Linked DNA regions of Sus scrofa. The protein of the gene in region 1 purifies or fractionates together with the protein of each later gene. This does not show direct contact. Links are inferred from orthologs where the notes say so. Each region holds a gene or a part of one and is shown in the gene's direction. Other genes may lie near its edges.

What was found.
Region 2: the proteins of POLR2G (region 1) and RPRD2 purify together in Homo sapiens (affinity purification with mass spectrometry; 3 studies listed by BioGRID and IntAct, counting the BioPlex papers as one, with this or other methods). This does not show direct contact. The link is inferred for Sus scrofa from reciprocal best matches to the Homo sapiens genes POLR2G and RPRD2.
Region 3: the proteins of POLR2G (region 1) and MED19 purify together in Homo sapiens (affinity purification with mass spectrometry; 3 studies listed by BioGRID and IntAct, with this or other methods). This does not show direct contact. The link is inferred for Sus scrofa from reciprocal best matches to the Homo sapiens genes POLR2G and MED19.
Region 4: the proteins of POLR2G (region 1) and POLR2M purify together in Homo sapiens (affinity purification with mass spectrometry; 4 studies listed by BioGRID and IntAct, counting the BioPlex papers as one, with this or other methods). This does not show direct contact. The link is inferred for Sus scrofa from reciprocal best matches to the Homo sapiens genes POLR2G and POLR2M.
Region 5: the proteins of POLR2G (region 1) and MED26 purify together in Homo sapiens (affinity purification with mass spectrometry; 6 studies listed by BioGRID and IntAct, counting the BioPlex papers as one, with this or other methods). This does not show direct contact. The link is inferred for Sus scrofa from reciprocal best matches to the Homo sapiens genes POLR2G and MED26.
Region 6: the proteins of POLR2G (region 1) and MED9 purify together in Homo sapiens (affinity purification with mass spectrometry; 3 studies listed by BioGRID and IntAct, with this or other methods). This does not show direct contact. The link is inferred for Sus scrofa from reciprocal best matches to the Homo sapiens genes POLR2G and MED9.
Region 7: the proteins of POLR2G (region 1) and CTDP1 purify together in Homo sapiens (affinity purification with mass spectrometry; 4 studies listed by BioGRID and IntAct, counting the BioPlex papers as one, with this or other methods). This does not show direct contact. The link is inferred for Sus scrofa from reciprocal best matches to the Homo sapiens genes POLR2G and CTDP1.

Annotation. Positions count from the first base shown.
Region 1 is NC_010444.4:9,005,832-9,009,791, reverse strand, and holds the start of POLR2G (DNA-directed RNA polymerase II subunit RPB7), read left to right. Parts: upstream 1-1,160; 5' UTR 1,161-1,300; coding exon 1,301-1,312; intron 1,313-1,423; coding exon 1,424-1,533; intron 1,534-2,893; coding exon 2,894-3,053; intron 3,054-3,711; coding exon 3,712-3,762; intron 3,763-3,960. UniProt on the Homo sapiens protein: Core component of RNA polymerase II (Pol II), a DNA-dependent RNA polymerase which synthesizes mRNA precursors and many functional non-coding RNAs using the four ribonucleoside triphosphates as substrates.
Region 2 is NC_010446.5:98,644,366-98,647,603, reverse strand, and holds part of RPRD2 (regulation of nuclear pre-mRNA domain-containing protein 2), read left to right. Parts: intron 1-449; coding exon 450-3,214; 3' UTR 3,215-3,238.
Region 3 is NC_010444.4:13,244,311-13,247,810, forward strand, and holds part of MED19 (mediator of RNA polymerase II transcription subunit 19), read left to right. Parts: intron 1-3,315; coding exon 3,316-3,500. UniProt on the Homo sapiens protein: Component of the Mediator complex, a coactivator involved in the regulated transcription of nearly all RNA polymerase II-dependent genes.
Region 4 is NC_010443.5:114,264,063-114,268,073, reverse strand, and holds the start of POLR2M (protein GRINL1A), read left to right. Parts: upstream 1-1,211; 5' UTR 1,212-1,370; coding exon 1,371-1,483; intron 1,484-1,544; exon of another isoform or gene 1,545-1,666; coding exon of another isoform or gene 1,667-1,746; intron 1,747-3,445; coding exon 3,446-4,011.
Region 5 is NC_010444.4:61,032,706-61,036,161, forward strand, and holds the end of MED26 (mediator of RNA polymerase II transcription subunit 26), read left to right. Parts: intron 1-182; coding exon 183-1,835; 3' UTR 1,836-2,956; downstream 2,957-3,456. UniProt on the Homo sapiens protein: Component of the Mediator complex, a coactivator involved in the regulated transcription of nearly all RNA polymerase II-dependent genes.
Region 6 is NC_010454.4:60,924,661-60,927,830, reverse strand, and holds the end of MED9 (mediator of RNA polymerase II transcription subunit 9), read left to right. Parts: intron 1-1,123; coding exon 1,124-1,340; 3' UTR 1,341-2,670; downstream 2,671-3,170.
Region 7 is NC_010443.5:145,808,874-145,812,967, reverse strand, and holds the start of CTDP1 (RNA polymerase II subunit A C-terminal domain phosphatase), read left to right. Parts: upstream 1-1,294; 5' UTR 1,295-1,682; coding exon 1,683-1,987; intron 1,988-4,094. UniProt on the Homo sapiens protein: Processively dephosphorylates 'Ser-2' and 'Ser-5' of the heptad repeats YSPTSPS in the C-terminal domain of the largest RNA polymerase II subunit. This promotes the activity of RNA polymerase II.

The DNA of each region.
Region 1 (3,960 bases):
CGACGGGAACTCCTGAACTTTTTTTTTTTTTAAGGGCTGCACCTGCAGCATATGGATGTCCCCAGGCCAGGGTCCAACTGAAGCTGTAGCTGTCGGCCTACACCACAGCCACAGCAACAACAGATCTGAGCGGCGTCTACAAGCTACACCACAGCTCACAGTAACGCCGGATCCTTACCCACTGATTGAGGACAGGGATCTAACCAGAGTCCTCATGGATACCAGTCAGATTTGTTACCACTGAGCCACGATGGAAACTCTCTATTATGATCAATTTTAAACATACAAAAGTAGAAGGAAACATATAAAAAGCCACAGTTTATCCATCATCTGGCTTCAACAATCATTAATACATCGCCTGGAGTTCCCCTCCTGGCTCAGCAGAAACGCATCTAAGCATCCATGAGGACTCAGGTTTGATCCCTGGTCTCGCTCAATGTGTTAAGAATCCGCATTGCCCTGAGCTGTGGTGTAGCTAGCAGAGGGGGCTCGGATGTGGGATTGCTGTGGCTGTGGCACACGCAGTTCCATGGCTACAGCTCTGATTCGACCTCTGGCCTGGAAACCTTCATATGCCACGGGTGCAGGCCTAAAAAGACCAAAAAAAAAAAAAAAAAAAAAAAAAAGTCATTGCCAAACTTGTTTCATCTGCACCGCTGCCTTTTTTTTTTTTTCAAATATTCATTTAATTTTAAGACAATTACATTTTAATAATGGCTGTGTTTAAGAATTAGCTTGCAAAATTCCTGAAATAGTAACAGTTGGCTTTTGCAGGGGCTCCAGCACACCACTGTCAGCAGGTAAGTTTGCTCTTGCAGGGAGGCTGGCTTCAAAAAGAGGGAAGGAGAGGGGTCAGGGCTGCTGTGGTCCTGGCCTCCGTTCTCTCCAGATAAGAACAGATAGTTATTATGCTTACTCTGTGAAAGCAGTCTTCAACTGTTTGCTGAATGAATATATTCTGCTAAAGCGCTTTATTTATGACGTCTCTCATTAATTAAATCCACCGTTTGAACTTCTTGTCTAGACCTGGCCTTGCTAATTTGTGAGCGTCCTGTGCTTTTACAGAGGGTGGACTGGACGAAGGGGGAGGAGCTTCGTGGATTTCCCCGCCCACGAAAACGGGGCCCAATCAAGTCCGCAGACGAGACGTGTTCCCGCCCACCTCTCTGGGGCAGGCCCGGAAGCGGGATTGGGGAGGTTGGTGTACTTCCGGTCCTGCCGGGGGTTTTGCTGCTGCTGCTGTCGCTGTTTTAAGCCTGGCTGCTCTCGGCCTGGCTGCTGTCCAGCCTCCTCCGGGAAGATGTTCTACCATGTGAGCAGGGCCCGGGGTGGCGGCAAGGGTAGGGTCGAGAGGAGGAGCGAAGCGGAAGGCCGGGAGTAGGGGGCCGCTTCTTGCCTGGTCTCCATCCCACGTTCTCCGCAGATCTCCCTGGAGCACGAGATCCTGCTGCATCCGCGCTACTTCGGCCCCAACCTTCTTAACACCGTGAAACAAAAGCTCTTCACTGAAGTGGAGGGGACCTGCACCGGCAAGTGAGTGTCCCGCTCTCCGTGCTGCCTGAGCAGTGCGCCCTCGGCGCCCGGTGCCTTCATCCCCTCCTCAAGTCCTGAAAGTTTGTGCTGTCTACCCTGGAGAGCCCTCTCACCCACCCAGACGGCCCAGGCAGTCATTTGCTTCCTGCTTCGGGTTCCCATGATGCCCTCTGCGAAGCTGGATAACGGGACTAACTTCCCTCAGCCAAGATTGGTCATTCATTTACTTTACAAACATTTCCAAATCTCCAGCTGTGTGCCAGGCTCTGTGTTGGGCCCTGGGAATAATGCAGTGAGAAAGACAGAAGCGGCCAGCTCGAGCTCATAGTCTCTTTGGATTTTGCTGGTTTTCTTTATCCCCCACGCCCAGGGACCTGTCATGGCACATTGGGCTTCACTAAAAGTGTGTTGAATGAGGGAGTGACCAGGATAAAGCAGATTGAGAGTTAGGGGGAGGAAGGAAGAGCACTGACGTTTGACCGTCTCTTTGCTCTGCACAGAGGGACCTCTCATCTGGTGATGTAGACAAACCAGGATGAGCAGGGCCATGGAGTACTTGGGGCTCCAGCATCAGAGCAACTGGGGGTGTCTTTTGAACATACAGGTTCCTGAGCCTCATGTCATCCTTACAGCATCCCCATATCTCTGGGGACAGGCCTGGGGATATGCATTTCATATATATATATGTATGTTTTTTTTTTTTTTTTTTCTTCTTTTGCTGCACCCTTGGCATGTGGAAGTACCTGGGCTCAGTAGGTTAAGTATCTGGCATTGTCATTGTTGTGGCGTGGGTTCTATGCTTGGCCTGGGAATTTCTGAATGCCACAGGCCAAATAAATTTTAAAAAGAGATTGAGGTCTCTTGGCTCAAGGACTGCAGCCCTTTTGGACACTTATTGTGAACTTATGAGATCAGCATTTGGCTTTGTAGATGCTGGTCATTGCCCTGTCTTCTCTCTTGATCATTAAGTTCTCTGGGACCAGGAGTGCCATCTACTTGCCCTTTGTGATGCCCTTTAACCCCCAGGCTCGGTGACTCTTGTGGCAGATTTTTTTTTGTCTTTTTTTGGGGGGCTGCACCTGTGTCATAGGAGGTTCGCAGGCTGGGGAGGAATCGGCACTGTAGCGGCTGGCCTATGTCACAGCCACAGCAGCGCCGGATTTGAGCCACATCTGCAACCTACACCACAGCTCACAGCAATGCCGGCGTCCTGAACCCACTGAGTGAGGCCAGGGATTGAACCTGTGTCCTCATGGATACCAGTTAGATTCGTTTCTGCTGAGCCACAACCAGAACTCCTCTTGTGGCAGATGGTTTTAGAGGCTCTTCCACACCTTTCTCTTTCTCATCCTCCCTGCAGGTATGGCTTTGTAATTGCTGTCACCACCATTGACAATATCGGTGCTGGTGTGATCCAGCCAGGCCGAGGCTTTGTCCTTTATCCAGTTAAGTACAAGGCCATCGTTTTCCGGCCCTTTAAAGGGGAGGTCGTGGATGCTGTTGTCACTCAAGTCAACAAGGTAAGTCCATCCACAGGGCAGGTAATGGGAAGTCCTGAGAAAATCTGGGATGGGCCCCAACTCTTACTTGCTAACTCTGTGTCTTTGGCCAAATCACCTCTTTGTGCTTCAGGTGTCCTTACCTGCCAGATGGCATGGGAATCTTGTCCTGCCTCACTCAGGCAGGTGTAAAATGTAAGTCAACATTAAGAGTCAAAAGAGCAGTAGCTTCCATTGATTGAATAGATCCTGTGCACCAGGTGAAGTGCAAAGCCTCACAATGACTGTGAGGCGAGTGCTTTTACCTCCGGACTGAAGCTTGGAGAAGACTGCTGGCCAAGGTCATGTGGCCGACAAGTGTTCAGATTCCAGACAGACAGGTTCGAGGCCTCAGGTGTTGACTACTACACTCTGTTAACATAAAGTGAAAGTTTGAAAAAGGAGAGATGGGGGAAAAAATATAATTGTAATGTATACATGTAAGGATAACCTGACCCCCTTGCTGTACAGTGGGAAAATAAAAAAAAAAAAAAGAAAAAGGAGAGAAAAATGAAAACAAATGCCAAATTTCAGAGTGGTTTCAAAACATGAAGACTATTATTAGGATGCAGATAAAGACGGGATGCTCAGCAGACAATGGGGACAAAAGAAAAAACTAGGTCATTCATTTCCCTTTTAGGTCGGACTCTTCACAGAAATTGGGCCCATGTCCTGCTTCATCTCTCGACATGTAAGTCCAGGCGGGCTAGGTGGGGCTAAGGAGGAGACATTCATTCCTGACCGTCTCTTTCTTTTTTGGGCTGCACCTGGAGCACGTGGAAGTTTCCAGGTCAAGGATTGAATTGGAGCCACAGCTGTGGCAATGCTGGACCCTTAATCCATTGTGCTGGGCTGGGGATTGAACCTGCATCCCAGCAGAGACTTGAGC
Region 2 (3,238 bases), on another chromosome or scaffold:
ATGGAGGATGAAAAGGAAGCGTAGGGCAGAATATCTATTTGTATTTAGAGAAACAGTTCTACAGACCAGACTTTTAGAAATATTGGCTTAAAGTGTTATTTTAAGAATAATTTTGCCCCCTTTCTTTTCCTGCTTTGTCTTGTTTCAACTGTGAATGATTCTGACACTAAAATCTCCCCCTTCCTGTTGCCTTTTATTGTGCCATGTTGGACCTGTTTCATGACTACTAGAAACATTTCAGTAATTTGCTCTCATATATTAATAAATAGATCCAGTGTTTTCTATTACATTTAGCCATTGCTTATTTGGTCTGGATTCCCTTTGATCTAGTATTTTAGTGTCTATCTGGTTCCCACTGGAATGAATGAGAATATCCAATTAATCTACATTGTTTTCATTGTAAGCTACAGAGTTGTTCTTTTTAATTCCTCTAATCTTTGTTTCTATAGGCCTGTCATCTTTACTTCAGAGTGTTACTGGGAACCCAGTTCCATCCAGTGAAGCTGCATCCCAGAGCACTTCAGCGTCCCCCGCCAACACCACAGTCTCTAACATAAAAGGAAGAAATTTGCCCTCCAATACCCAATCCTTTATTTCCAAAGGCTTCAGCTATTCTCCTAATTCATCAACTTCTGAAGTCTCTTCAACTTCAGCCAGCAAGGCCTCGATTGGGCAAAGCCCAGGGCTCCCAAGCACTACTTTCAAGCTCCCATCCAACACTCTGGGGTTTACAAGTACCCACAATACTAGCCCTGCTGCCCCACCTACTGAAGTTGCCATGTGCCAATCTTCAGAGATCTCCAAGCCAAAGCTGGAGTCCGAGTCCACCTCCCCAAGCCTGGAAATGAAGATTCACAACTTCTTAAAAGGTAATCCTGGTTTCAGTGGCTTAAACCTAAACATCCCAATCCTGAGCAGTTTGGGGTCCAGTGCCCCAACTGAAAGCCATCCGTCAGACTTCCAGCGTGGCCCTACTAGCACGTCAATTGACAACATTGATGGAACCCCTGTGCGGGATGAACGGAGTGGGACGCCCACCCAAGATGAGATGATGGACAAGCCCACATCCAGCAGTGTAGATACCATGTCCCTGCTTTCCAAGATCATTAGCCCTGGTTCCTCAACGCCCAGCAGTACAAGATCACCACCCCCTGGGAGAGAGGAAAGCTACCCTCGAGAGCTCTCCAATTCTCTATCTACATATCGGCCCTTTGGTTTGGGCAGTGAATCACCCTATAAGCAGCCGTCTGATGGGATGGAGAGACCGTCTTCCCTGATGGACTCTTCACAGGAGAAATTCTATCCAGATACTTCTTTCCAGGAAGATGAAGATTACCGAGATTTTGAGTATTCAGGGCCTCCACCCTCTGCCATGATGAACCTAGAGAAGAAACCGGCCAAATCTATCCTGAAATCAAGCAAGCTTTCTGATACCACTGAGTACCAGCCAATCCTGTCCAGTTACAGCCACAGGGCCCAAGAATTTGGGGTCAAATCTGCCTTCCCTCCATCTGTAAGGGCCCTTCTGGACTCTAGTGAGAACTGTGACCGTCTGTCATCTTCCCCTGGGCTATTTGGTGCCTTCAGCATAAGAGGGAATGAACCTGGGTCTGACCGGTCACCTTCACCGAGTAAGAATGATTCATTTTTCACCCCTGACTCCAACCACAATAGCTTGTCTCAGTCTACCACTGGGCATCTCAGTTTGCCACAGAAGCAGTACCCAGACTCTCCTCACCCAGTCCCACATCGTTCCCTTTTCTCTCCGCAGAATACCCTTGCCGCTCCCACGGGCCACCCACCCACGTCAGGTGTGGAGAAAGTCCTGGCCTCCACCATTTCCACCACATCGACGATTGAGTTTAAGAATATGCTTAAAAACGCCTCACGAAAGCCCTCAGATGATAAGCATTTTGGCCAGGCCCCCAGCAAGGGCACTGCAAGTGATGCTGTCAGTCTCTCAAACCTCACCCAGCCCAGCTTGGCAGCCACTGATCAGCAACAAGAAGAGCACTACCGTATAGAAACCCGAGTCTCCTCCTCCTGCTTAGACTTGCCTGATAGTACCGAAGAGAAGGGGGCCCCTATAGAAACCTTGGGTTATCATAATGCATCCAATAGGAGGATGTCAGGGGAGCCAATACAGACTGTAGAGTCCATCCGAGTTCCTGGGAAGGGAAATAGAGGACATGGGCGTGAGGCTTCAAGGGTGGGTTGGTTTGATTTGAGCACCTCAGGCGGCTCGTTTGACAATGGTCCCTCAAGTGCCTCTGAGTTGGCATCCCTTGGGGGTGGGGGCAGCGGAGGCCTCACTGGCTTTAAAACAGCACCGTACAAGGAACGGGCACCCCAATTTCAGGAAAGTGTCGGCAGCTTTCGTTCCAACAGTTTCAACTCAACATTTGAGCATCATCTCCCCCCGTCCCCCTTGGAACATGGGACACCCTTCCAGAGAGAGCCAGTGGGGCCATCATCTGCCCCACCTGCCCCTTCTAAGGATCATGGTGGTATCTTCTCTCGAGATGCACCCACTCATCTACCCTCTGTGGATCTTTCGAACCCCTTCACAAAGGAGGCGGCGCTGGCCCATGCTGCCCCACCTCCTGGAGAGCACAGCGGAGTTCCTTTCCCCACCCCACCCCCTCCTCCACCCCCTGGGGAACATAGCAGCAGTGCTGGGAGTGGTGTCCCTTTTTCTACTCCACCTCCTCCTCCACCTACCGTTGACCATTCTGGGGTTGTACCCTTCCCAACCCCACCACTGGCAGAGCACGGAGTGGCAGGGGCTGTGGCAGTATTTCCCAAGGACCATAGTTCCCTCCTTCAAGGGACCTTGGCTGATCATTTTGGGGTGCTCCCAGGACCCAGGGACCATGGGGGCCCTACCCAGCGGGACCTCAACGGCCCCGGCCTTAGCCGTGTACGCGAGAGCCTCAGCCTACCTTCCCATTCTCTGGAGCACTTGGGCCCAGCCCATGGAGGAGGAGGTGGGGGAGGCAGCAACAGCAGCAGTGGGCCTCCCTTGGGTCCCTCACACAGAGACGCCATCAGCCGGAGTGGGATGATCTTGCGGAGTCCCCGGCCAGACTTTCGGCCTAGGGAACCTTTTCTCAGCAGAGACCCTTTCCACAGCTTAAAGAGACCCAGGCCACCTTTCGCTAGGGGCCCTCCGTTCTTTGCACCAAAACGCCCATTCTTCCCTCCCAGGTACTGATGGAAACTAAGGGAAAGGCATTTT
Region 3 (3,500 bases), about 4.2 Mb from region 1:
GGTTTAAGAATAAAGTAGTGATTATTCTTTCTTTCTTTCTTTCTTTCTTTTTTTTTTTGTCTTTTGTCCTTTTAGGGCTGCATCGGAGGCATGTGGAGGTTCCCAGGCTAGGGCTCTAATCAGACCTGTTGCTGCTGGCCTAGGCCAGAGCCACAGCAATGCCATATCTGAGCCACATCTTCGACCTACACTACAGCTCATGGCAGTGCCGGATCCTTAACCCACTGAGCAAGGCCAAGGATCAAACCCTCAACCTCGTGGTTCCTAGTCAGATTTGTTTCCGCTGCACCATGACGGGAACTCTGTGATTATTACTTCTTGTCAGAGCCAATGTCATTATTTTCTGGTCATGCCTCACAAACTACTAAGAACCACATGACTACATGATGGTTTTCAAAATGTGTTCCGTCTTATTCAAAATGACAGCAAGAATAAGCTGTCACTTTAGCTGGACTTTGAAGACTTCAGATTGTTTAAGAAAATTAAGAATTTTCCTAGAATTAGGTCAATCTTCCTAAAAGAAATTTTCTAAAAGGAAACAATATGAGGGGTGTTTTGTTTTGTTTAGTTTTGCTTCAGGAGATGATGGATACCCATTTCAGTGGATCAGAAATTTTGCATGGGAGAATAGTGTTGGTTAGGCCTCAAAGCTAAGTTACAGTAAGATGTGTTTAACCATGGGTCCCAGTTAAAGGAGTTTGAGCTTTTTGCCGAGGGAATAGGAAACCATTGAGATTTTTGAACTGAGTACTGCTTCTAAAGATATCTGGAGGAGTTCCCATCGTGGCTCAGTGGTTAACGAATCTGACTGGGAACCATAGGTTGCGGGTTCGATCCCTGCCCTTGCTCAGCGGGTTAAGGATCTGGCGTTGCCGTGAGCTGTGGTGCAGGTTGCAGATGCGGCTCGGATCCCGAGTTGCTGTGGCTCTGGCGTAGGCCGGTGGCTATAGCTCCGATTCGACCCCTAGCCTAGGAACCTCCATATGCCGAAGGAGTGGCCCCAGAAAAGGCAAAAAGACAAAAAAAAAAAAAAAAAAAAAAAGATATCTGGAGAATGTGGGTGCCATAAATTAAAATAGGGGAACCAAGAGTGAGGTGGAAGTTTAAAAATTTTTTGGAATCTGCAGTGAATTAACTAAGAGAATACTGGAACGCAAGATTAGTTTTCAGGAGCGGAGTTACTATAAATCATACTCATAGAAGTGATGTTCAGAACAGAAAGTTGGATGGATCCTTAAAGAATTTAGAGAAAGCACAGAGTGCTTTCTCAAGGCTTAGCTGCCCTCAGTGGGCTCATAGTTCAGAACCTGGGTTTTCTCAAATGAATAATTATAAACAAGTCACTTTTGTCATTTGTACCCTGAGTGTTCATCACAACTGTACATGAGGAAGTGCCCATTGTGGTTCAGTGGGTTGCAAACCCAGTTAATATCCATGAGGATGTGGGTTTGATCCCTGGCCTTGCTCAGTGGGTTAAGCCTCTGGTGTTGCCGTGAGCTGAGCTATAGGTCAAAGATGCAGCTCAGATCTGGCATTGCTGTGGCTGTGGCATAGGTTGGCAGCTGCAGTTCTGATTCGACCTCTAGCCTGAGAACTTCCATATGCCACAGGTACAGCCCTAAAAAGCAAAACAATAATAAAAATAATAACTACATGAAATTGTAGGCTAGATATTTCTAACTCTCGCCACTGAATCCTAGTTAAATTACTAAGTTTGTATTCTTTGAAAAAAGCCAGCCATAAATATTTATACTAATAATGCCTTCCATTTATATAATAAAGAATTTAGAGAAAGTACAGAGTGCCTTCGCAAGGCTTAGGTGCCCTCAATGGGCTCATAGTTCAGAACCTAAGTTTTCTTTCTTTCTTTCTTTTTCTTTTCTTTTTTTTTTTGTCTTTTTGCTATTTCTTGGGCCGCTCCCGAGGCATATGGAGGTTCCCAGGCTAGGGGTCCAATTGGAGCTGTAGCCACTGGCCTATGCCAGAGCCACAGCAACGCAGGATCCGAGCCGCGTCTGCAACCTACACCACAGCTCACGGCAACGCCGGATCGTTAACCCACTGAGCAAGGGCAGGGACCGAACCCGCAACCTATGGTTCCCAGTCAGATTCGTTAACCACTGCGCCACGACGGGAACTCCAGAACCTAAGTTTTCAATATGTTTTCATTTGAACCTTGAAAAAAATTGTCTTTAAGACAGCTTTTACCGCGTTCCATAGATAAGCGGAAACAGGTATAGAGGACAGTTAGGATTCGAATTCTAGTTGCCCGATTTCTTTCTTTTTTTTTTTTTTAATTTTTAAATTAAAAAATTTTTTTTGCTTTTTTAGGGCTACATATGCAGCATTTGGAAGTTCCCAGGCTAGGAGTCAAATCAGAGCTGCAGCCGCAGCTGCCAGCGTACACCACAGCTCACGGCAATCCTTAACCCACTGAGCGAAGGCCCGGGATTGAACCCTCGTCCTCATAGATACTAGTTGGATTCATTTCCATTTTGCCACAACGGGAACTCCAAAACAGAACAGTGTTTAGCATGGAGTATAAGCATCATGTAAGTCATTGCTCTGGTTAGTCTGAGGTTCGTCATTGAGTTAGAGCGGTTTCCATCTCTGCCCTATGTGGATTTTTGCCAATTTTTTCCTCCTTCATATTCCAGCCTCCAACCTACCATTCTATAATATTATACTTACTTTTTTTTTTTTGTCTTTTTGCCTTTTCTAGGGCCACTTCTTGCAGCATATGGAGGTTCCCAGGCTAGGGGTCTAATCGGAGCTATAGCCACCGACCTACGCCAGAGCCACAGCAACTCGGGATCTGAGCCGCATCTGCAACCTACACCACAGCTCACGACAACGCCGGATCCTTAACCAACTGAGCAAGGCTAGGGATCGAACCCGCAAACTCATGGTTCCTAGTCGGATTCATTAACCACTGCACCACGACGGGAACTCCACTTTTAATTTTTAAAATTTTCACTTAAAAGATTCTTTATATTTTACTTTAAATTATAGTCCTTTACTTTCCCTTCTGGCACAGTGACTTTTTAAAAAATTCTCTACTCTTGGGACTAACTTTTTTCTTTCTTTTTACAGCCGTACCTGCAACGTATGGACGTTCCAGGCCAGGGGTCGACCCAGAACTGCACTGGTGACCTTTTCTGCAGCTTGTGACAACACCAGATCCTTAACCCACTGACTGAAGCCAGGGATTGAGCTGGCATTCTCACAGAGACAACCTCAGGTCCTTAACCCACTGAGCACAACGGGAATTCCCAGGACTAATTTTAAAATTTTGATTCTCCCTGTATCCTTTAGGCAGCACAGAGCTGACTGGCAGCACTAATCTGATCACACACTACAACCTGGAACATTCCTATAATAAATTCTGTGGGAAGAAAGTGAAGGAGAAGCTAAGTAACTTCCTGCCTGACCTGCCAGGGATGATTGATCTGCCTGGTTCCCATGACAACAGCAGCCTCCGCTCCCTCATTGAGAAGCCC
Region 4 (4,011 bases), on another chromosome or scaffold:
AGCAGGCCTTATGTTGAGAATGTTAATACATTAGTTAAAACTGATCAGAATGGACCAGATTACAAGGACACAAAAACGGTTTCAACTGTGCACCCTGAAGCAGTTTCCGATTTTATTTAGAGCTTCTGTCTGATTGGGAGGGAATTGCTTGTGTTTATCATATCACCTTACAAAAGACTGAGAAAATGTAAATTTTCCATATCAAAGAAGGGGGAGGCTGGTGTTGGAGGTTATGGGGTTTTTCAAACCTCCCAAGTGATGTATGCTGTGAGACTAGCATGCTTCCTACTATTTCCTTTGGGAAACAGCCCTCCTAGCTTAACTATTAAGAGAAGCTAAGCACTAGATGTGATGCTTACTGCATTGCTTTCCTCAACAGCTTAAAACACCTTCTTACAGTTTGGAAGATTTTCAAACTGGTGTGGTAGAGCAGCTGGGCTTTTGAGTTTAATATCTGGTGTTGTCACTTACTAGTTTCATGCCCTGGGAAAACTTACATCAGTTTTTGTCTGTTTTTCTGCAGGAAAATACGGAATTGTGAGAGGTTCTCAACTGGCTTGTACAGCACCTCCCACCCCATCACCTCTTGCGGGCCTTTGGAATTGTGTGTATGAGCGTGCTGGGGATGGTAGTGGGTGGGATGCGTTTGGTACTGTTATAAGGACTCAGGAGTGCTAAAGCAATTAATGCACAGAAGCCAAATACCAGATATGCAATGCCTAATTCAGTGCCGCAAAAGAAGACTCCTGCTCCAAACGCCGGAGCCTCATTAAGAAACGCTGGTAGTCCTTAAAGGTTCTTCCAACGTTAATATCTGCTAACTTCACTGAACCTCGGACTAGGCGGGCCACGCCATGGGCCGGGGCCTCCCATGCCCTATCCGGCACATTCCCCAACATTATCAATGGTAACTCATCACTCAGATTTCCTCTTGTACTTCTCAGATGCCAGGGCCCATCGTACAATTATATTGTTTGACTGTCACCTGATAAGCATCTGACCCTCTCCCCCACGCGGTAAACACCTTAACAGTTGGGAGCGGGGCACTCACCAAATACTTTCTGAATAAACAGGCGAAGAGCTGAAACTGGTAACAGACTGACCACGCCAAACATGCCCGGCCGGCGTGTGACGTCTCACCGCAACTCCCGCCTCTTCCCGCCCCTCCGGCCACCCCCTCCTCCCTGTCCGTGTTTGTTTCCGGCGTTTCAATAAAGCTCGATTCGGCTAGAAGAAGCCCTGTTCTTCCGGGAAAATGGCGACTCCCGCTCATTCGCCGGAGTCCCTGCCCGCCGCGGATCCGGCGCCCGCAGCGGGAGCTGTCGCGGACGTCGAGTGCCCGCCGCCTCGCCAGCCTCAGCTCCCGCAGAATGTCCTCGCTGCCTCGCGGCTTCGAGCCCCAACCTCCCGAGGACTTGGGTCAGCGGAGTTTGGCAGAGCTGCGGGAAACGTTGAAGCGCCAGGAGAGACTTTTGCGCAACGTGTAAGCCTGGGTCCCGCGGAGTCACCGCCGGTCTCCTTGGGTTCGGGCTAGCCGGGACGCGCCCCTCCCCTCCCCCACCCCGATCCTTTCCTCGGAAGGTGACCTTGTCACAGTCAGCTCTTTGCGAGGTCCGCGGGCGAGTAGCCGGCCTACAGCCGTAGAGCTGACCGCGTCCAGCCAGGCATGGAGCGCATGTGGGATGGCTTCCCGTGCTCCTCCTCGTTTTACGTACTCAGCTTCTGTGTCGGTTTTCCGAACGGACGGTCTGTATCCCAAATTTTTTTGCCTTTGCCCACCACCCCAGTCGTGCCCCAAACATCCTGTCAATTTCATCTCTAGATTCTCTTTTTACAGGAAGTGGGAAGAGGGGAATTAAAAAAATGGCTTATAGGCAAAGAAAGTTTGGCTAACATTTAGATGATAGAGTTAATGGAATTTAGCAGAGGATCGATATAATGAACATGATTTTTTTTTAACCTTATTTTAGCAGGTTTGTGCAGGATAGTTTTGAGGGAGTAAGAGGCAGAAGACAGTAGGAGAATATTTTCAGAGAGCCTCTCGACAAGGAGGTTTAAGAAAGTGAACTAACTATAAGGGTCATTGTAGGATTGGGAAAATTACATCAGATATGGAATAATTTGATGTGTAGTTGACAGAGACGGCTGAAGTTTCTTGCCTGTACTGGAGGCACTAGTAATAAAAATAGAAAAGTTGGGGAGGGGAGTAGATCTGAGGTTGATTTCACTTAGGGGAGCTGGGTTGATAGAAGTTGATTCTATCAGGTTAAAAACTGGAGAAGTGGTCATGAGGCTTAAGAGAGAAGAAGGATGGGAAAATAGAGGCATCCTAACTGGAGAGGGATGTTTAATAGTTAGAATTGGGGGCATGAATATAGTGTCATAAAGAGTAGAGGGCATGAGATGTAACTTTCCCTCCCCATTTATTGGGTGGCTAAAGAAAAGAAAATCAGAAAAGGAACTTCTATCACTCAGCAAAAGGGACAAGTGATCACTTGGGAGCTTCCTAGTAAAGACAACTATTTTGACTTCGTGAGAATGGTTTTTTTTTTTGGTTTTTTGTTGTTTTTTTTTTTAAGGGCCACACCATAGCATATGGAGGTTTCCAAGCAAGGTGTCAAAACAGAACTGTAGCTGCTGGCCTACAGCAACACCAGATCCGAGCCACGTCTGCAACCTACACCACAGCTCATGGTAACGCCGGTTCCTTAACCCACTCAGAGGCCAGGGATCAAACCTGCGTCCTCATGGATACTAGTCAGATTCCTTTCTGCTAAGCCACGAAGGGAGCTCTGAGAATGGGTTTTTAATCTGTAAGTGGCAAATTAACTTTTTGTTCTCCAGACTACTTTTACGCTTAAGCATCCTGAAGAGCTCTTGTCTTATATGTGGTATATCTACTGATATTTATCATTGCCTTAGGAATTACAAGTGAGCATCTTTAAAAGACAAGTACACACATTCTATTAATCCTCAGAGCAGTGGTATCATCACATATGAGGTGGCCTCTGCAAACCTTTCCTGTGCTGATGGTAAGCAAAGGAGAATGAAAATGGCAAAGAGTGTCTTAGTGTTATATAGTTTTGACCCTGCAGGTCCATCTACCTACCCTCCCCAGGAAGGTCTTGCATATCACACGTCTAAAAATTGCTAATTTGGGGGATGTCTTTTAATGAGTATCATATGCTTAAAATACTTTTGCTGAAATTCTAATTAGATGAGACACATGAGGCATATTTCCTATTCATGCAGCCACTTGTTTTTTTTTGGGGGGGGAGTATTTGGATAATGATTCTCTTATTTCATTCCTAATTGGGGCCAGTTGGAAATCAGATTTTTTACTTAAAGATCAGCTTTTCTCCCTTTGAGAATAATTCTTTGTCTTTATATCTCAAGTTTAAAAACAGGGCTCTCTCACATATGCCTGTTCTTTTCCTTTTGCCAGAAAATTCATTTGCAAATTGCCCGACAAAGGTAGAAAGATCATAGACTCTGTCGCCAAACTGAAAGCTGCCATTGAAGAACATGAAGAAGTTAGAGGGGGAAGTGACCTCTTTCATCCCGTTAATTTAGACTGTAAGTGGAGGACAAAAGCAAGTACAGTTGTTGATGTGGCAACAGATACGGCCCAGAATTCTGACCAGATACTTGATACTTCATCACTAGTTCCTGGCTGCTCCTCTATAGCTACCATCACGTCGTCTCAGACAACCTCACAGCGGGGCCTGGTCCATCCTACTCATGGAGGCAATGCTGAGGCCCCTGAGCCCGAACACTCAGTGAGCAAGTGCCCACCTTCCAGCAGCAGAGCCGCTGTGCCTTCCTCATCTGAAGCCAGTGAGCGACTCCCTCAGCATCACATTTCAAGTCAAGTAGAGGATCATTCTAGCAGCTCGGAGAACCTGTTTATTGATAGATTGCAAAGGATCACTATTACAGACCCTGGTGAACATCACTCAGAAGGAAACCCGAGTCTGGAGAACTTGACTGGCCTTTGGCGTGGGCCACAGA
Region 5 (3,456 bases), about 52 Mb from region 1:
AATTTAAATGCCACGAAGGCTCCAAATCCTCATAGGTTTTGTGTCTGGGAAGCCAGTGGTTTAGGGCCCAGTGTGAGGTCATTTCAAAGACATGGGGTGCTCCCCGTCATTTCTCACTCAGCTCCCTTTTTCATGAGGTTTCCCTGTCCTATAAGTGTGTCATCATCTCTCTCTGGCTGTAGGAAACTCGACTTGGGAAGCTCATCAACGATGTCCGCAAGAAGACGAAGAATGAGGAGCTTGCCAAGCGGGCCAAGAAGCTGCTGCGGAGCTGGCAGAAGCTCATCGAGCCCGTGCACCAGAATGAGGCCACACTGCGGGGGCTGGCAGGCGCCACTGGCTCAGCCAATGGGGGTGCCCATAACTGTCGGCCAGAGGCAGGGGCAGCTGGCCCACCCAAGAGCATCCACGACCTGAAGAACCGCAACGACATCCAGAGGCTGCCCGGGCAGCGGCTGGACAGGCTGGGTAGCCGCAAGCGCCGGGGAGACCAGCGTGACCTTGGCCACCCTGGGCCACCTCCCAAGGTCTCCAAAGCAAGCCACGACTCCCTGGTACCCAACTTGTCCCCCCTCCCCACTAACGGGATCAGTGGGAGCCCTGAGAGCTTCCCTGGCTCCTTGGACGGCAGTGGGCATGCGGGCCCTGAGGGCAGCCGCTTGGAGCACAGCGAGAATGACAAGCACAGCGGCAAGATCCCCATCAACGCCGTGAGGCCTCACACTAGCTCCCCGGGCCTAGGCAAGCCCCCCGGGCCCTGCTTGCAGACGAAGGCTGTGCTGCTGCAGCAGCTGGACAGGGTGGACGAGACTCCCGGCCCCCCCCACCCCAAGGCACCACCTCGATGCTCTTTCAGTCCCCGGAACTCACGGCACGAGGGCTCCTTTGCCCGGCAACGGAGCCCGTACACATACAAGGGCTCGGTGCCCAGTCCCTCACAGAGGCCCCAGTCGCTTGATGCCACACAGGTGCCATCACCGCTTCCGTTGGCCCAGCCATCCACACCCCCTGTGCGGCGACTGGAGCTGCTGCCCAGTGCAGAGAGCCCGGTGCGCTGGCTAGAACAGCCTGAGGGCCACCAGCGGCTCTCAGGGCCAGGCTGCAAGGCAGGGCTGCCCCCAGCCGAGCCTCTCCTGCCCCGGGCAGGCTTCTCCCCAGACTCCTCCAAGGCAGACAGCGATGCTGCCTCCTCCGGTGGCTCGGACAGCAAAAAGAAGAAGAGGTACCGGCCTCGTGACTACACGGTTAATTTGGACGGGCAAGTGGCCGAGGCGGGCGTCAAACCTGTCCGGTTAAAAGAGCGGAAGCTCACCTTTGACCCCATGACAAGACAGATCAAACCTCTGACCCAGAAAGAGCCAGTGCGGGCCGACAGCCCTGTGCACACAGAGCAGCCCAGGACAGAGCTGGACAAACCCGAGGCCAAGGCCAACCTCCAGAGCCCTTTTGAACAGACGAACTGGAAGGAGCTGTCGCGCAACGAGATCATCCAATCGTACCTGAGCCGGCAGAGCAGCCTGCTCTCATCATCGGGTGCGCAGACCCCAGGGGCTCACCACTTCATGTCCGAGTACCTGAAGCAGGAGGAGAGCACTCGGCGTGGGGCCCGGAAGCCACACGTGCTGGTGCCTCACGGCCCACCCACGGACCTCCCTGGGCTGAGCCGAGAGGTCACACAGGACGATCTGGACAGAATCCAGGCCCACCAGTGGCCAGGGGTGAATGGGTGTCAGGACACACAGGGTAACTGGTATGACTGGACGCAGTGCATATCGCTCGACCCGCACGGCGACGACGGGCGGTTGAACATTCTGCCTTATGTCTGCTTGGACTGACCGTCCCGCGGGCTCTAAGTGCATTCCCACCTTGCAGTTAGCCGTGGAGGGTGGGGCGCCAGGACCCTGCCACCTCCAGTGGTTGGGAATCCAGGGAGTCCGGCCTGGGGCGGGAGGGAGGGGGCGAGAGTCTCTAGGTCTCTCCGTGCTCTTCCCTCAAAATTCTCCTTCTTTTGTGAAATGCTGCTACCAGTTTACTAACAAAATTGCAAAGGAAGGACCGTGTGGAAGGAAGGCCAGCAAAGTGAGTTCAGAACTCTATAGCAAACCAGCTATAAAAAGCGTTAGTTCCCCACCTCAGAAGAGGTGTGGACGCTGCCCAGCCCCCATGAGCTGGGACCTCAGTTGCAGGCAGGCAGAGAAAACCTGTGGAAGAGGTTACCTTTAACACAGCAACAGAAGCACGCATCTCATCTCTTTGCATTTTCTGTTTTTTAATGTGGCCCTGAGTGAGGCAGTGGGCAACACTGCAGCCTCTGTTTGCACCCCACCTGGCCAGCTTTTCCATCGTGGTGCCAGAAGCTTCTCAGCTATAGCAAGCTGCTGGCATCAGTCAGGCCAACTGGCCAGCAGTTTGACCCACACTCCATGGGCATCCACACATTTGTATCTCGTTTCAGTTAAAACCCAGTTTTTAAAGAAATGCTGCAAAATTTAAGTTTTCTAGAGTTTATTTTATCCCCCTTTTCCATCTCACCACCAGATGAGTAACTTTACTTTGTTCCTCCCTCTTCGTTTTCCCCTTCCTGCACAAATCTAGAAAAGTTCACCTTCCTAGAGTCCCTTCCTCCCCAAAAAAAACAAACAAAAAAAAAAAACAAAAAAAAAAACCCACAAAAGTAACCGCGGGTGCTACTGGTGTGTAAGCTGTACTGTTGGGTGAGAGGAGACCTGTCTGTACGCTGGAAACACTCATAACCATTCCTTTAGATTCGTTTGCCTTATGGTTATTTGTCATAAACGCGATTTGCAAAAACAAGGAGCCTTAGTGAATGTACAGTACCTAGACTTCTGTGTTCTCAGGATGCAGAAGGGAGCAACTTTGCTATTTGGTCCAGTAAGTGGACACCTTGTGATATAAATGTGGAAATAAAAGAAAAAAAAAAAAACATTTGCACAAACCAGTCTGAGAATTGTTTTTAATTTGGTCCTTTATAGCCATTATAGTCCTTTCTGGATTAGCCAAGTAGACATGGACCCTGAGTAGCCAGACTGTGGGGAGGAGGGCAGGGCAAAGTTGCCAAGTCAGCCTGTTAGCTTTCCACCTGGAGACTGACCCCTACCTTGCCTTTCATGCTTTCAGGGCCACGATGCTTCTCCCACATCAGGTCACCTCTTAGCTTTGGGTGACAAACTGAAGGGCCACATCTGTCTCCATCTATACCTCACCTTTCTCAGACAGAGAAGCCCCCCCCCCAGCAGGCTCTGCAATTCAAGTTTCAGTGACCTTGTCCTATCCCCTAAAATATTTGTAGTTCTTATACCACATGGTTCAAAACTCTTGTCTGGCTCCAGGCTCCAGGCTGGGCCCTGGCTCCAGGCTGCTAGCTTCCCATGCAGGCCTAGGGCTATCTTAGTATCTGGATGGGGTTGACTTAAACAAAAAAAATTTTTTTTCCCT
Region 6 (3,170 bases), on another chromosome or scaffold:
GAAAGGACAAAAGACAAAAAAAAAAAAAAGAAAAAAAGAAAAAAAAAAAAGCCTACAATCGGCTTTAGGATTTTTGTCCCTACTGCCTGTTTTCAAGGCATATCCATCTAGTGACTAACTTTTAAAAAATGCATGCGAGTCACTGACAGGCTGTCCCCTTGAACTTAGCGGAAGGGTTGGTTCTTGTTTGCTTTGAATTTAGCAGTGACGGGGGCACGGGTCTCTGGGTGGCGAGCAGTGGCTGTGAGGTGAAGCGTGTGACCCGCCTTTCAGGCGAGATGACCTGAAGGCCAGGAGTGTTTGCGAGTGTGCAGGAGAGCACACATGCTGCTGCAAAGTTCCAGCACCTGTAACTAATTTAAAATTTATGGGCGTTCCTGTCGTGGCTCAGCGGCAGCCAACCTGACTGGTATCCGTGAGGACGCAGGTTCGATCCCTGGCCTCACTCGGTGGGTTAAGGATCTGGGGTTGCCATGAGCTGTGGTGTTGGTTGCAGACCCGGCTCGGATCCAGTGTGGCTGTGGTGTAGGCCAGCAGTTCCAGCAGCTCCGATTCGACCTCCAGCCTGGGAACTTCCATATGCTGCTTCTGTGACGCTAAAAAGAATAAAAAAAGAAAAAAATAATAAAATTTATTATGTAATAATAAAATTCTGTGGAAATCAGCCTTTATGGAAACAGGTTCAAGCATCAGAAAATGAGCTAAAACTATCTCTGGCTCGTCGATAAAGTCTCCTGATCGGCCTAGAACGTCTCAAATTAGAAGAAATATGGTATTTCAGCAAATTTTGCTTGCCGTTTGTCACCTACTGTTGTAATGGCTTTTTCTTCATTCGGCAGACACTTCGGCGCGTGTTTGCCGGGCGTTCACTCTTTGAGCGAATGTTGCTTCCGTGCCGGGCCCGGGCTGGGGGTGCGGTGCTGCAGGGGGGCTCCGCGAACTGCGGGCACGCGGGGGGCGGGGGGCTGGCCGGGCAGCTGCTGCTCTGCCAAGGCCCTGCCCTGCCCTCCGCCCTTGGGGCGCACAGCCCAACGGGCTGATGTGGGAGCCCTGCGCTGGGGCGGGGGGCGGTTACGGAGGGCCACCCAGGCTGCGGCGCTAACCTCTGCCCTCTCCCTGGCAGCATGGACAAGGACGGCCCTGACGTGCACCAGGACCTGAACGCCCTCAAGACCAAGTTTCAGGAGATGCGCAAGGCCGTCAGCGCCATGCCCGGCATCCACCTGAGCCCCGAGCAGCAGCAGCAGCAGCTGCTGAGCCTCCGGGAGCAAGTCCGCACCAAGAGCCAGCTGCTGCAGAAGTACAAGAGCCTGTGCATGTTTGAGATCCCCAAGGAGTAGCCGAGGGGCCTCCCGTCTCCACCCTGGGAGGGCTCCTGTGGGCTTGCTGCGCTGCGCCTGCGCTGACCAAGGAGCCTGGCGTCCCTGGGTGGCGTGTCCCATGTGTCCGGACGCATGGGTGCCTGCAGGTGGAAGGAAGAAAGCTTCCCCAGGCCGGGTACGGGCAGGGGGCTCTGCCGTGCCTGCGGGCCCAGCTGGCAGACCCGAGGGCACAGCAGGAAGGCGGCAGCAGCCCTCTGCCCTCCTGCCCTGCCCTGAGACGGTGGCTGTTCCAGGAGCCCGTTCTGGAAACAGCAGCCTGCACAGAACTCCCTGGACAGCTGGGCCTGCGCTTGGGCGCCAGGGTTGAGACGCTAGAAGGCCCCGAAAGACTCGGCGGCGGCTTCCTGCCCTGGAGTCGTCGTCTCCTTTTGTCTGAGGCTTGGGTGCCACTATCTGTAGGACGGTGGCCCCTCTCCGGGGTCTCTGCCACTCACGCGTCCTTGCCTCTTTGTCCCATATCCCCTGCAGTCAGCTCGTTGAGCTATTTAATGCCCAAGAGTGGCAGGCCACCTCAGCCCACGTGGTCACCTCGGCTGTGGTCTCCTGGCGGGCACACCCGCTCTTCCTGCCTCTCAGAGTCCTTGTCCCCTGGTCTAGGAACGAGTTTCCCTCTGACCTCCTCTCTGAGGAGGCAGCCACCAGCCTTCACTGCAGCAAACAGGTGGACGTGCTGCGCCCTCGGAGAAGGGCAGCTCTGAGTGACAGTTCGGAAGGTCCCTGGGTGGGAGAGCCGGACCTGGAGTCGTGCAGCCGAGGCGGCTGTGAGCCTGTGTTCCTTGCAGGCGGCCGTGGCGTTCGCACGAGCAGCCTCTTCCCGCCTCGCAAAGCGGAGCCGAGAAGTGCCCCGGGTAGCGTCTACATCGAGAGAGGGGCTCAACCCCAACCCATGCCGACCCACCTGCGGGCCTGCAGATGCAGCTGATCGGCCTCTGTGGCAGCATTGTTGGTTGAAGCGGTTTTGGGCAGGGTCCACAGGGAGCGGCGTGCGCACAGGAGGTTCTGGTGTCGGTTGAAGCGGGCGTGTCCTGGTAGACGGGTCTGCGTGGGACGGTCACTAACTGAATCGCTTAGCTCCTCGGAGTTTCAGAGCAGCGGGGGGCTGGCTTTAAGGCTCTGATCAAATGCCCCGGGACCCGAAGCCCAGCGACGCTGGATGGCCCGGTCTTCCTGAGGCTACAGAGACTCGGGCTCCCCGCGTGTGGAGGGGGACGGAACCTCTCCTGTGCCCCAGTGGTGTGACTTGTGGCACTTTTCAAGAATGTGATTAAAGAACTGTGCTCTGTTGTCAGACGTCTGGGGTTTGTCCTCAGAGGTTCACGGTGAGCCGGTGCCTTTGGGCAGTTGGCCAAAAGGTTCATGTCGCTCAGAGGAGACAGACGCGTGGGGAGAACCTCCACCTGCACCTCCTCCCCCAGCCTGAACGTGGGGCACCTGTCCCCAGGGGTGTCGTTGGCCTGGTGGGTCATCCTGCCTGCAGTCAGCCCCCTGGGCCGCCCCTCGTGGCGGAGGTGGGTTCCGTCTGGCAGGGAGCTGTCTCCCAGAGCAGGGTCGAAGTCCTCCCCGGGACAGTGTGGACCCAAAGGGCCACTGAGACATCACTCCTGGCCCGCCCAGGGTCCCCACGCAGCAGTGACCTGCTCTCTGTATCAGAGAATCGGGGGCTTGCCCCAAACTCTCAGGGGCGCCAGTGCTAGACGGAGCTGGGTCCCCTCGACCCCGAGAAGGTGCTGGAGCTAGAGTGGCCAGGCCACTGACTGTGATGGTCCAGAATGCTGCGTGGCAGACCCT
Region 7 (4,094 bases), on another chromosome or scaffold:
CAGCTTTTGATTTAAAGTGAGAGATGTGCGACTCTTCCTTTCACTTGAACACTTAGAGGCCATTATGGTTTATTAATCTGCCTAATTACACTTAGAGGGCAGAGAGGAGGGAGCGAGATGGGAGGAAAGGCTGGTCAGTGCAGCAATCAGAACACTCGCAACATTTACCAATTAAGTTCACTATCTTACCAGGGCATACCCCCAAAACAATTATAATAGTAACATCAAAGATCACTAATCACAGATAATCATAACAAATAATAATTAAAAAGTTGAAATATTGTGAGAAATACCAAAACGTGACCCAGACATGAAATGAGCAAATGCTTTTACAAAAAAATGGTGCCGATAGACTGGCTCCATACAGGGCTGCCACAAACCTTTAACTTGTGAAAAAATGCAGTATCCACAAAGTGAAATAAAGCAAAGTACAACATAGTTATGCACATACTACTGTTGAGTTGTCTGCCTCCCTTAAATTACATCAGTTTCTGCTTCATGCACCTAAGGGTTCTGTTGTTGGGACAGGTGCTTCTGTCCAGTTCCCGCCAGAGAGTGCAGCTCTTCAAAAATCGAATCAAGAAAGACCTTGAGGGCAGCCGCAGTCCACCACGTCCACTCCTCCCAAAGGCTGGTCTCCAGGTGGTTCCAGTCTCCCCAGGCGGGCACCAGGGCAAGAGGGCTGGGACAGTGCGGGGAGGGTCGGAACCAAAGAAGACCCCAAAACAGGCACTCTTGGGGGATGCAGGGAACCTGGCGCCCACCAGGTTCCAAATCCCAACCGCGCTCCGCATGCTAGGACAGCAGCTCCACGAAACCCGCGTGGCATGCCGGAATTCCAAACGCCCCACTGGAACCCATGGGACAGCAGCGCACCGGTGGCGCACCCTAGGCCTTGCAGTCCCACAGGCAGCCAGCCTCAACGCCAGCGAGAGGAGTCGTGGGTCAGCGCCCCGCGTTGCATGCTGGGACCGCAGAGCCTGACGGTGTTTCTGGGACAGAGGCAAGTTGCATGCCGGGACTTCAGCCTTGTAGTCCAAAGACACCCCCAAGACTTCAGCAAATGGAGGACTGTGAGACAGCCAAGCACCGTGCATACCGATATTTTAGTTCTCAGTATACTGGATCTCAGCAGCCCAGGGGAACTGCAGGATACAGACTCTCATTGTAAGCCCCAGCCGCTGTGCCTGATGGGAACTCGTGACACAGAGGGGCGCATTGCACGCCGGGAATTGTAGTCCCACCACGACGTCCAACCTCAGCGTTTGATGGGGGGGGGGGTGCGCGTTGTATGCTGGGACCCGCGATCCCAGACGCTGGTGTTCGTGGGACGGATGGGGACTAAGAACACTGTTTCCACCGGAATCAGCCCCATAGGTGTAGTTCTAGGATGGGGCTCACTGCCCGTGGCTGGTGCAGGACCTCTAGGGCCCCGCGTGGGCGTGGTTTTTAACTCGGGTCCTCAGTGCATCCGCGCACGCACGCGGCGGCACGTGACATCGCACGCTGTCCCGGAAGTCGGCGGGGAACGGGCGGCGGGTGGGAGCCGGTGCCGGGGAGAGAATCGGTGCTCCGCAGCTGCCGCCACCTCCGCCTGGGCCTGGGTCGCCCGCCAGCCCGCGATGGGCGCCGGGCCCTGAGCGTCCGCCGCCGCTTTTCCACAGCAACTCCGCCCAGCTGCGATGGAGGCGCCGCCCGGCGGCCGCGTTCCCACCGAGGGCGCCCCGCCGCCGGCGGTGGCCGAGGTGCGCTGTCCCGGCCCCGGGCCGCTGCGCCTACTCGAGTGGAAGGTGGCGGCGGGCGCAGCCGTACGCATCGGCTCGGTGCTGGCTGTGTGCGAGGCCGCAACCTCCGCGCAGCCCGCCGGGCCCGCTCCTGCCCGCGCGAGCTCTGGGAGCTGCGTGCGTACCGAACGCAGACTGAGGTCGGAGCGCGCTGGTGTGGTTCGGGAACTGTGCGCGCAGCCGGGCCAGGTGGTGGTCCCCGGGTGAGTGGGAAGGGGAGGACGGGGCCGGGCCGGGCGGGGCGGCCGGGTTGGAAAGAGGTTCTGGGCCGGGAGAGGGAAGAAGGGCCGGGGACAGGAGGGGGTCCTGAGCTGGGAACTGGGTAGGAAAAGTCTCTGAGGCTGCAGTTGAACGGGATGCACTTGGGGAGAGCTTTAGAATGTAAGGCCCACTGTTGTGTGTCTGCATGTTTTTCTAAGGTCAGACGATAGTCACTACTTGTGACTTAATAATCAGAGGCGGCTGGGTTTTTTTTTTTTTTTTTTAAAGTTCTCAACTACCAAAATTGAATTCTTTAGAAAACGGTTGTGTTCCCTTCTTTTTTCTGTGATAGGATTGCACGTTTGTAAATTAGGAAAACATGGGTCTATAGCGAGTACAGGAGGAATCAGACATGCTCCATGCTGGTTGTCGTGGTAATAACTGTTGGGAGGTGTGCACTTCTTTAGATCCTAGTTAGACCCCGTGAAACGTTGCCTGTAATACCTAGTGTAGTTCTGCATCAAGCTTAGGAAGGGGGGTGCAGCTTTGGCACAAGTAGGTCAGTGTGCAAAGTAGTAGTACACCCTCCTACAATAGGCTTTTGCTGTGGGTACCTCTGTTTTAACCATGTAGCATGACTTTTTTTCTTCTTTGAAGTGTATGAGCTCGTCAGTTCATATTTTTCTAAGTTTACCAGTGCTGTGTGCAAAGGTGTATATACATGTGGTTGTTTTCAGGAACAGAACCTGGGGCAGGCGAGCATTCCCGACTCCTGTTGTAGTGGCTCCTGTTTACCTTACCTCTGTGGAGGCCACAGTATGCCCTGAGTGCTCCCTTTCTGCCCACTCTCATCCTGCTACTCCCCCTGTGGACTGAGTGACCTCTGGTTGTTGAGCCTCTTCTGCTCCATTCACACAGAAGCGAATGACCAGGATAGAACCACCTCCTCCCCAACCGCGGGGAGCCTCCTTCTCCATCTATGTCTCTGTCATCTTGGGAGGTAGAGCCTAGTCCTCAGCCTACTGCTCGCCTGCCAGTACCTGCCCACTGAATGCAGGCGGGGTGGCCTAGGCTGCATCCTCCACTGGAGCCATCTGCTTGGCCTCCTTTAGAAGGGAGGGGCTCGCTGTGCTGGTGTGTTTAACACACTACTATGCTGTTAGCATGGCTTTGAAGTCAAGTCTTACCTGACCATTGCTTGGGCACTAATGAGCCTGTAAATCCGTCAGCTAAATGATGAAGGTGCAGCATGATGCTGGTGTTTCACTGTGTAGAAAATCCCTGAGGGAAAGAACTCCTCTCCATGCTGTTCTGTTCCTCTGACTGCTCAGAAAAGGCCGCCAGGGCCCAGACAGGCCAGTGGCTGTCACAGCAGTTAATGAGACTTCATGTACAGTGTGTTGATCAGTCCCGCAAGTCTGAGTAACCCAATACAGTAAACTCACCAATCAGCTGAGAAAACAATCTTCTGACAAATTCCCAGCTGGGAGTAGTTTTCTGTCTTGTGTGTTTTGTGTATTTGAGATCTCAGATCTGCAGAGGTTCATCACAGGGCCTTTTGAGAATCTGAAGAGTGATAGCATTTCTCCTGGAACACAGGTGTGCGAGGTATGTGTAAAGTACCAGACCAGAGCTGGGCTCACCTAGCTGGAGTCACCCTGTCTCTGTCATTGCTGTCATCAGCAAGGCTCATCCTGACCACATCAGAGGTGGTTCTCAGGCAGTGAACGTTTCTAGAAACTTAAAAATCCTGCCTTGGGGTGGAGTTAAAATAATCACTAGATTACTCTCGGGACCTCGAACAGGATTGTATGTTTTTGTAGTACTTCATGCTGTCAGGTGGTGGTGGGGACTATCCTTGCTCCTCTGACAGAGGCAGGGGCTCTGATGTGCCGGCGTCGGCCCTGCTGAGTGAGGCTTCCCCTGGCTCCTCCGTGCTGCTCTCTCCTTGGGCCGTGTTTCATCCAAAGCACCCCAGTGTGGGAAGTGAATGGAATGAGAGTCTGTTTCTGTCTTCATAACATGTATGTGAGTTGAAATTATTTTGATTTGGGAATATTCTGACAAGGCACCATCTGCCAGAAACTAAATCTGTTAATTGTTTTCTTG